2 linked regions of the Kluyveromyces lactis genome follow. The protein of the gene in region 2 interacts with the protein of the main gene of each other region in a pairwise test. Links are inferred from orthologs where the notes say so. Each region holds a gene or a part of one and is shown on either strand. Other genes may lie near its edges.

Region 1 (3,847 bases), on a different chromosome or scaffold from region 2:
CCGGTGCTGTGCATCTCGGTAGAAGAGTCGATTACTTATTCACTGTCCTAAGAGACGAAGCTAAGGGTCCCCAAACTGATCCATCTCACCCTGCCGGCTCTTCGTCAACCGGAACCACGACGCCTCAGCAAAACAAACGTAAACCAAAGAAGTCTGCTACTACTGCTGGGAACAGCAATGGGAACGAAAATGCCCATACCGCTGGTACCCCAAGTGACGGCAATAGTGTTAACTTAACCGGCAAGGACTCTACACCAGACAATAGCTCCGAAACAAAGCGTGGCAAGGCCCATCACCATCAACAACCATCATCAAGATCTGGTACGCCTGTCGTCGGATCGAAAAAACAGCAGAGGAAAGGTAAAGACATACCGTTGGCACCAAAAGCCGATATCCGTCTTCCTGACAAAGAATACGACAGTATGGACGAAGAAGAGTGTAAGAAAACGATGACAAACGTCCGTAGCTCACTCAAACGTCTAAGATCTGGAGGAGACGGTCTTGAACGTAAGCAATGGGCTAACCTATTGAAGAAGGAATTGAAACGTGTTGGTGACTACATCGAATCGCACAAGAAGGACTCGTCTAAGACCTCTCCAGAAAAATATAAAAGACATTTATGGTCTTTCACTGCATATTACTGGCCAAGAGATGTCCCATCTTCCAAACTCCTGGCGATGTACGACAAAATCAAAGCCTCTGAACATTAATTAGTCAAATGTAACAAAACATAGAGATATATACGCCTATCAATTTACGAAAAAAAAAAAGATATCTAATCAACAACATATTGCTATTAGTTATTATTACCTTCATAAATGACATGAGGCACAAGGGCGCACCAGAAACAGCCGGCTGCTAGTAAAATACCTGGTTTGTTGTGGTGATGCCTCAGATCATTTCGCACGTACCTACCTTTCCTTTTGTGGAAAAGCTTTAAACTCTTTTTCAACTCTTTAAATTTTTCAATGAAAATTTTCACTTTTTGGCTAACTCATCACAACAATTAAGGACTGTTCTCACAGAGATGGATGAATTATATAACGATTTTAAATAAGTTCTTGTGATGTTGTTTCATTTATTTAATTTGTTATAAGTTTTTAGTTATCTTGGTTAGTTTATACTGTTTCGTTTGTTACTTATTTGTATTACCTTTCTGGTTCAGTTATTGTAACATTTTATTTTGTGCAATTTGTTTGTTTAAAAAGACCACGGTCAAAGTCAGCAAACTCTCTAAAGGTATCATCTGTATCCTGTATTTTAATTGTTTTTGGTAAAAGAAAAGAATAAGCGTGGTTTATATCTTTTTAATATTAGTCAAAACATTCCAGTTAGAAGTCTTTTTGAATTCAAGTTAACTAAGGGTTTTTCATTTCCATCCATCGTTAAATCAAAACTTAATAGTTTCATCAAAGGTTCGCAACTGTGTGGGTATTAAACAAAACAATACACTAAAATACACATTAAAAAACCATAAAAAAACATATATTTTAAAAACACATTACAAAACCAACCAACCGCCATCTTTTTCGGTTAAATTTATCTCATCTCATCTCATCTCATAATGTCTGATATTACTGAAAAAACTGCTGAGCAATTGGAAAACTTGCAGATCAACGATGATCAGCAACCAGCTCAATCTGCCAGTGCTCCATCCACTTCTGCTTCTGAAAGCGAAGCTTCTTCTGTTTCTAAGGTTGAAAACAACAACGCTTCATTGTACGTTGGTGAATTGGATCCAAACATTACTGAAGCATTGTTGTACGATGTGTTTTCACCATTGGGTCCAATTTCCTCGATCCGTGTTTGTCGTGATGCCGTCACCAAGGCTTCGTTAGGTTACGCTTACGTTAACTATACTGATTACGAAGCTGGTAAGAAAGCTATTCAAGAATTGAACTATGCTGAAATCAACGGTAGACCATGTAGAATTATGTGGTCCGAACGTGACCCAGCTATCAGAAAGAAGGGTTCTGGTAACATTTTCATCAAGAACTTGCACCCAGCCATTGACAACAAGGCTTTGCATGAAACTTTCTCCACTTTCGGTGAAGTCTTGTCTTGTAAAGTTGCTTTAGATGAGAATGGAAACTCTAGAGGCTTCGGTTTCGTTCATTTCAAGGAAGAATCCGATGCTAAGGATGCTATTGAAGCCGTCAACGGTATGTTGATGAACGGTTTGGAAGTTTACGTTGCCATGCACGTTCCAAAGAAGGACCGTATCTCCAAGTTGGAAGAAGCCAAGGCTAACTTCACCAACATTTACGTCAAGAACATTGACGTTGAAACCACTGACGAAGAGTTCGAACAGTTGTTCTCCCAATACGGTGAAATTGTCTCTGCTGCTTTGGAAAAGGATGCTGAGGGTAAGCCAAAGGGTTTCGGTTTCGTTAACTTTGTTGACCACAACGCCGCTGCCAAGGCCGTTGAAGAGTTGAACGGTAAGGAATTCAAGTCTCAAGCTTTGTACGTTGGCAGAGCTCAAAAGAAGTACGAACGTGCTGAAGAATTGAAGAAACAATACGAACAATACCGTTTGGAAAAATTGGCTAAGTTCCAAGGTGTTAACTTGTTCATCAAGAACTTGGACGATTCCATCGATGACGAAAAATTGAAGGAAGAATTCGCCCCATACGGTACCATCACCTCTGCTAGAGTCATGAGAGACCAAGAGGGTAACTCTAAGGGTTTCGGTTTCGTTTGTTTCTCTTCTCCAGAAGAAGCTACCAAGGCTATGACCGAAAAGAACCAACAAATTGTTGCCGGTAAGCCATTGTACGTTGCCATTGCTCAAAGAAAGGATGTCAGAAGATCCCAATTGGCTCAACAAATTCAAGCCAGAAACCAAATCAGATTCCAACAACAGCAACAACAACAAGCTGCTGCCGCTGCTGCTGGTATGCCAGGCCAATACATGCCACAAATGTTCTATGGTGTTATGGCCCCAAGAGGTTTCCCAGGTCCAAACCCAGGTATGAACGGCCCAATGGGTGCCGGTATTCCAAAGAACGGTATGGTCCCACCACCACAACAATTTGCTGGTAGACCAAACGGTCCAATGTACCAAGGTATGCCACCTCAAAACCAATTCCCAAGACACCAACAACAACACTACATCCAACAACAAAAGCAAAGACAAGCCTTGGGTGAACAATTGTACAAGAAGGTCAGTGCCAAGATTGACGACGAAAACGCCGCTGGTAAGATCACCGGTATGATCTTGGATCTACCACCACAGCAAGTCATCCAATTGTTGGACAACGACGAACAATTTGAACAGCAATTCCAAGAAGCCTTAGCTGCTTACGAAAACTTCAAGAAGGAACAAGAAGCTCAAGCTTAAACTTGATTTTTTGACCTTGATCTTCATCTTGTCCTTTCTATATCTTTCCCCCGAAGAAAAAGAAAAATTAAAAAAAAAAACGAACAGCTAACTATATGAATAGTCTCAGCTTCACGCATTGGAACTGGGTGGTGCTAATTAGCTTACGCATTGTTATAGACCTAAACTAGTCGAAATAAACTACTTTCTGCCACTCTTCTTTTTCTCTCGCTTTTTTTTTTTTTGTTCATCACAGGCTTTCCATTGTTGCCAAAAATGTTGTGCTTTTAATCTTTACCAATAAAAAAAATTACCACGCTCCACATATACCATATTACCACAATCCATCACATCACTCTACCCTTTCTCCATACCGCTAATTCAATCCGGAGGTATGCCCCATTTTTCTCTTCAAATTTTTTCTTACTGATTTTTTCTATCTAACTATTATTGTTACTCTACCCGTTTTATATAATACTAAAGCTCTAATGGGAGGACATTAGTAGTCTTTTTAATGAAGAGGTT
Region 2 (3,810 bases):
CTATATTTGTTGTACGTTTTTTTTTGTATAAAGAAATAGTGCAAAAATACATATGTCGCAATTGTGTGCAAATTTGCGCAGATGTCCGACGAACTAACACGCAAGGTAACATTACCGCTATGTTTAGTGACAAACACTAGACCGAAATGTTTACCATAGTGGGTCTACTCCGAAGCTCATGAAGGCGTATCGAATCGATGCTTGTTTCGCGTTGTGTGCGTATTTACTCTTACTTTCTTGTGTGCATTGTTTAGCTTTTCGTTTTTAGATAAGAAATGTGTTTACGGTTCTGAAATCTGAATGTCGGAAAAGACCGTTGTTAAAGACGTCGTTGAGGTCTGATGTCAGGATTACAAGATTTTACATCAGTAAGTCCCAACGAACTTGGGAAGTTGACGTTCAGGTAGGAAAGCAGTGCCGTTACACGTGATGTGCAGACGCAATAAGGTGTAAAGTTCTATCTATTAAACTTTCCTTTGGGAAGCAAGAGCAAATCGGAAGAAAAGTGGGTAGTAGTATATGTAAGTTTTTTCAGCTGTTTTTGGTGGGTTTGTTATATAATTTTAGTTTATGTTTACATTATTGTGTTAGCGCTCTGAATGTTGAATCGATCAAATCCTTTAGCTCTTTATAACTTATTATGATGCAGTTCATCTCGTCTGGCGTCACAAGCATTAATCTTTCTGATACGCCTGCATCTAGTTTGTTCAAACATCTCAAGACATGTGTCAAATCCATAACATTTTTGCCAGTGTCATCTTTCTGGTGAAACACATAGTCGAAAAATAGTATGATCGGAAACTTTTCTCCAGACTCTGCCCAATTAATGTCGATACGTGATTCTAACCTACCGTAAATTGCATTTAGTTTGCACATCAAACGGAATAATCTTGCATTTTCTAATTCACGTGAAAGTTGCTGCTCTAGGTATTCGCTATTGTATTGTAACGAATTTACCACTGAAAGAACTTTATGGCTGAAAAGTTTGGTGAAGTCCTCTATATTTTTGTTGTTGTTTGATGTATCCTGGAGGTATTGAATACATTTCTTGAATAAAGGATCTATGTGGTAGGACTTTACGTCGTCTAATGGGCCTGATGCACCGCATAGCCTTTGAACAAGGTTTAATAATAACTCGGCAAGTGATAAGTAATTCTGTTGCTGTTCTGTATGTAACATTCTCCCCTCTTGATGGTAATTTAGCGTGTCATAGACACCGATATCAGTTACTTTTATTCTACCTGGTTCACCAGTTACGATAACTTTTTTCCAGTCTAAATCATTAAGAGCTAGTCCATTAGAATGGACTTCTTGAAGTGCAATTGTCAATTGTACCAAAAATGCCCATAAGTACTCTTGATTTAATTCGTTAACTGAATTGGCAAGCCCATAAGTTTCGTACAACGATTGTGATTGAGGGTAGTAATCAAACACCATACACAACGAGCTATCATTGAACGCAGACGTTACAAACGAATCTTTCAAAACAGTGATATTTGCCGAACGCAGGTGACTCCAAGTTTGGAAAGGTTTAGACACTTGGGCAGAATCAGTTATTTTGACGTCATGAATACGGCGCATGAAATAAATCTTACCGTCAAGATTTGAAAACACCTTGTACAAGGAATTCTTGTGACCATTGTACCTTTTCTTATCAGATGTTCTATTATGGAAATCCATGGGGACCAATCCAAAGTAATCACCAACGATATCCGGTAAGGAACCTCTAGGGAACACCTGAAGCGCAGTTTGATTGTTTTTGACTAATCTATCCCTCAAATGGTTGTTAATGAACAAAGTTTCGGGAGTTCGCTCGTTTGGTTTAAGCGGTATTTTCAGGTGTGGTGGTGGATCTGGAGCATATAAGTGATATTGCAATACAGAATGTGTTGGTGGGTACACTGTTGGAAACTGAGTGATAGGATTTACTGGTAATGCACCGGGTGGTGGTGGTGGAGGTAATCCTTGCATGGGATGACCAACTCCTAGCATGCCGCCTGAGGGCAAACCCGCACTATTCACATAAGGATTCGAAGGCACAGGTGATGGGATAGACGGGTTGGAGCCATGTAGTGTCCCTGCCAGTTCCTGTGAGGAAGGGATACCACCTGCTGACACTGATGGAGTAAAACTCTCTGAGGCATACGGATTGAATGACGGAGCAAACGCCGTTGCATTCGAGTTCATAAGGCTAGGACTCATCGTTCCACTGATCTGTGGCCCATCTGCCAACATTGGTTGATCATTGACTGGTGCACCTGGCTGAAATGCAGGAAGCGAAGAGAAGTCTGGACTCCTTACAGCTGGAGATTTTCCTGGCGTAAAACTAGAACTTGTCTTAGCATTGAACTTCACGTTAAGCGGAGTCATTGAGCGCTGCGTTGGGACCTCGTCCGTTGTTTGACCCTCTGTTTCTTTGCTGTTTCCATGATTAAATTGGCATCCTTCGTTTTCAAACTTACAATATCCATGAATGATAATATTTCTACACTGGGTTCCTTTGAAGGAATCAGGCCGGTTCCAGTTAGTGCCTGATGCTGAACTGATCATGCGTGGTCGTGTATCTTGATAATCTCAAGTATATATGGAACTCTCTATCCGCTATAATCCCACAATAATCCTCCGGTTATAATAACGTGAAAATGCCCATGTACGTTATTTACATACATTATGAAAAACCGTTAACTATATAAACTTTCTAATCGCAATTTCTAACCTTTGTACCATGAACGAGAAGGAAAGTGTGACATTGTAAGAAGATAGGTATTAATAACAGCACTAGTTTAAGCCATCGTAGATCCATTATAATTGAAATGTCAAAGGTGTTTTTAGTGACAGGTGTTTCTAGAGGAATTGGTTCTTCCATTGTGGAGAAGTTATGTTCTATTGAGACGACTAAAATCGTAATAGGAATTGCAAGATCAAAGGATAAACTTGAGGAGCTGAAAACTCAATACAGTGGGAAGTTTGATTACATTTGTGGTGACGTGTCTGATGAAGAAACTATAACTGAAGCTGTCAATTTCATTGAGTCGAAATACAAGAGACTAGATGGTATTGTTGCCAATGCGGGAGTTTTGGATCCTGTGGAAGATGTTAATAATATACATATTTCCAAGTGGAAACAGTTGTTTGATATCAATTTCTTCAGTGTTGTTTCCTTGGTCGGCCACGCATTGCCCTTGTTGAAACAGAGTAACGGTAACATCGTACTTGTCAGCTCAGGTGCCAGTACAAAGTCATACGTATGTATACCCTTAAATTTCATTCTAAAACGAAGAAAAGCCGGATTGGCATACGGCAGAACCCGATTTACTAACCAAAATAGTTCCCAAAACTCTACCTGCTTCCAAGGTAATGTGGAAAATATATGATCAGTACGGATGGGGTGCATATGGAGCTTCTAAGGCAGCATTGAACCACTTTGCTGCCACAATTGCAGCAGAAGAGCCAGCTGTTAAAGCAATCTCAGTTGCGCCTGGTGTCGTGAAAACCAAAATGCAAGAGGATATCAGAGAAACCTTTGGACCTAGTGGTATGACAAAGGAAGCCCTGCAACGGTTTGTTGATTTACATGACAATGACCAATTGTTACCTCCAAGCGTTCCCGGTACCATTTATGCCAATTTAGCTTCCAAAGGGATTCCTTCTGAATTGGATGGCGCTTACCTAAGATACAACGACGAAAAATTGAGAAGTTTCTCGGAGTGAATCTATCTCGCTGCCAGTGTTCATTGCAAACGATTTTTCTGTGCGTCTCTTATAACATAGATTGAGAGCTGTTGTTTATTTTATTAATAACAACCGTCG

The links. The genes of interacting proteins can lie anywhere in the genome.
Region 1: the proteins of PAN3 (region 2) and PAB1 interact in binary tests that used the Saccharomyces cerevisiae proteins (3 or more experiments, as listed by UniProt). The link is inferred for Kluyveromyces lactis from reciprocal best matches to the Saccharomyces cerevisiae genes PAN3 and PAB1.

What each region holds. Positions count from the first base shown.
Region 1 is NC_006039.1:1,551,758-1,555,604, forward strand, and holds PAB1 (polyadenylate-binding protein), read left to right. Parts: upstream 1-1,564; coding exon 1,565-3,343; downstream 3,344-3,847. Other genes in the region: chromatin-remodeling ATPase CHD1, read left to right, coding at 1-710. UniProt on the Saccharomyces cerevisiae protein: Binds the poly(A) tail of mRNA. Appears to be an important mediator of the multiple roles of the poly(A) tail in mRNA biogenesis, stability and translation.
Region 2 is NC_006041.1:725,796-729,605, reverse strand, and holds PAN3 (PAN-complex poly(A)-binding subunit PAN3), read right to left. Parts: upstream 2,551-3,810; coding exon 580-2,550; downstream 1-579. Other genes in the region: KLLA0_E08075g (SDR family oxidoreductase), read left to right, coding at 2,814-3,245, 3,355-3,711.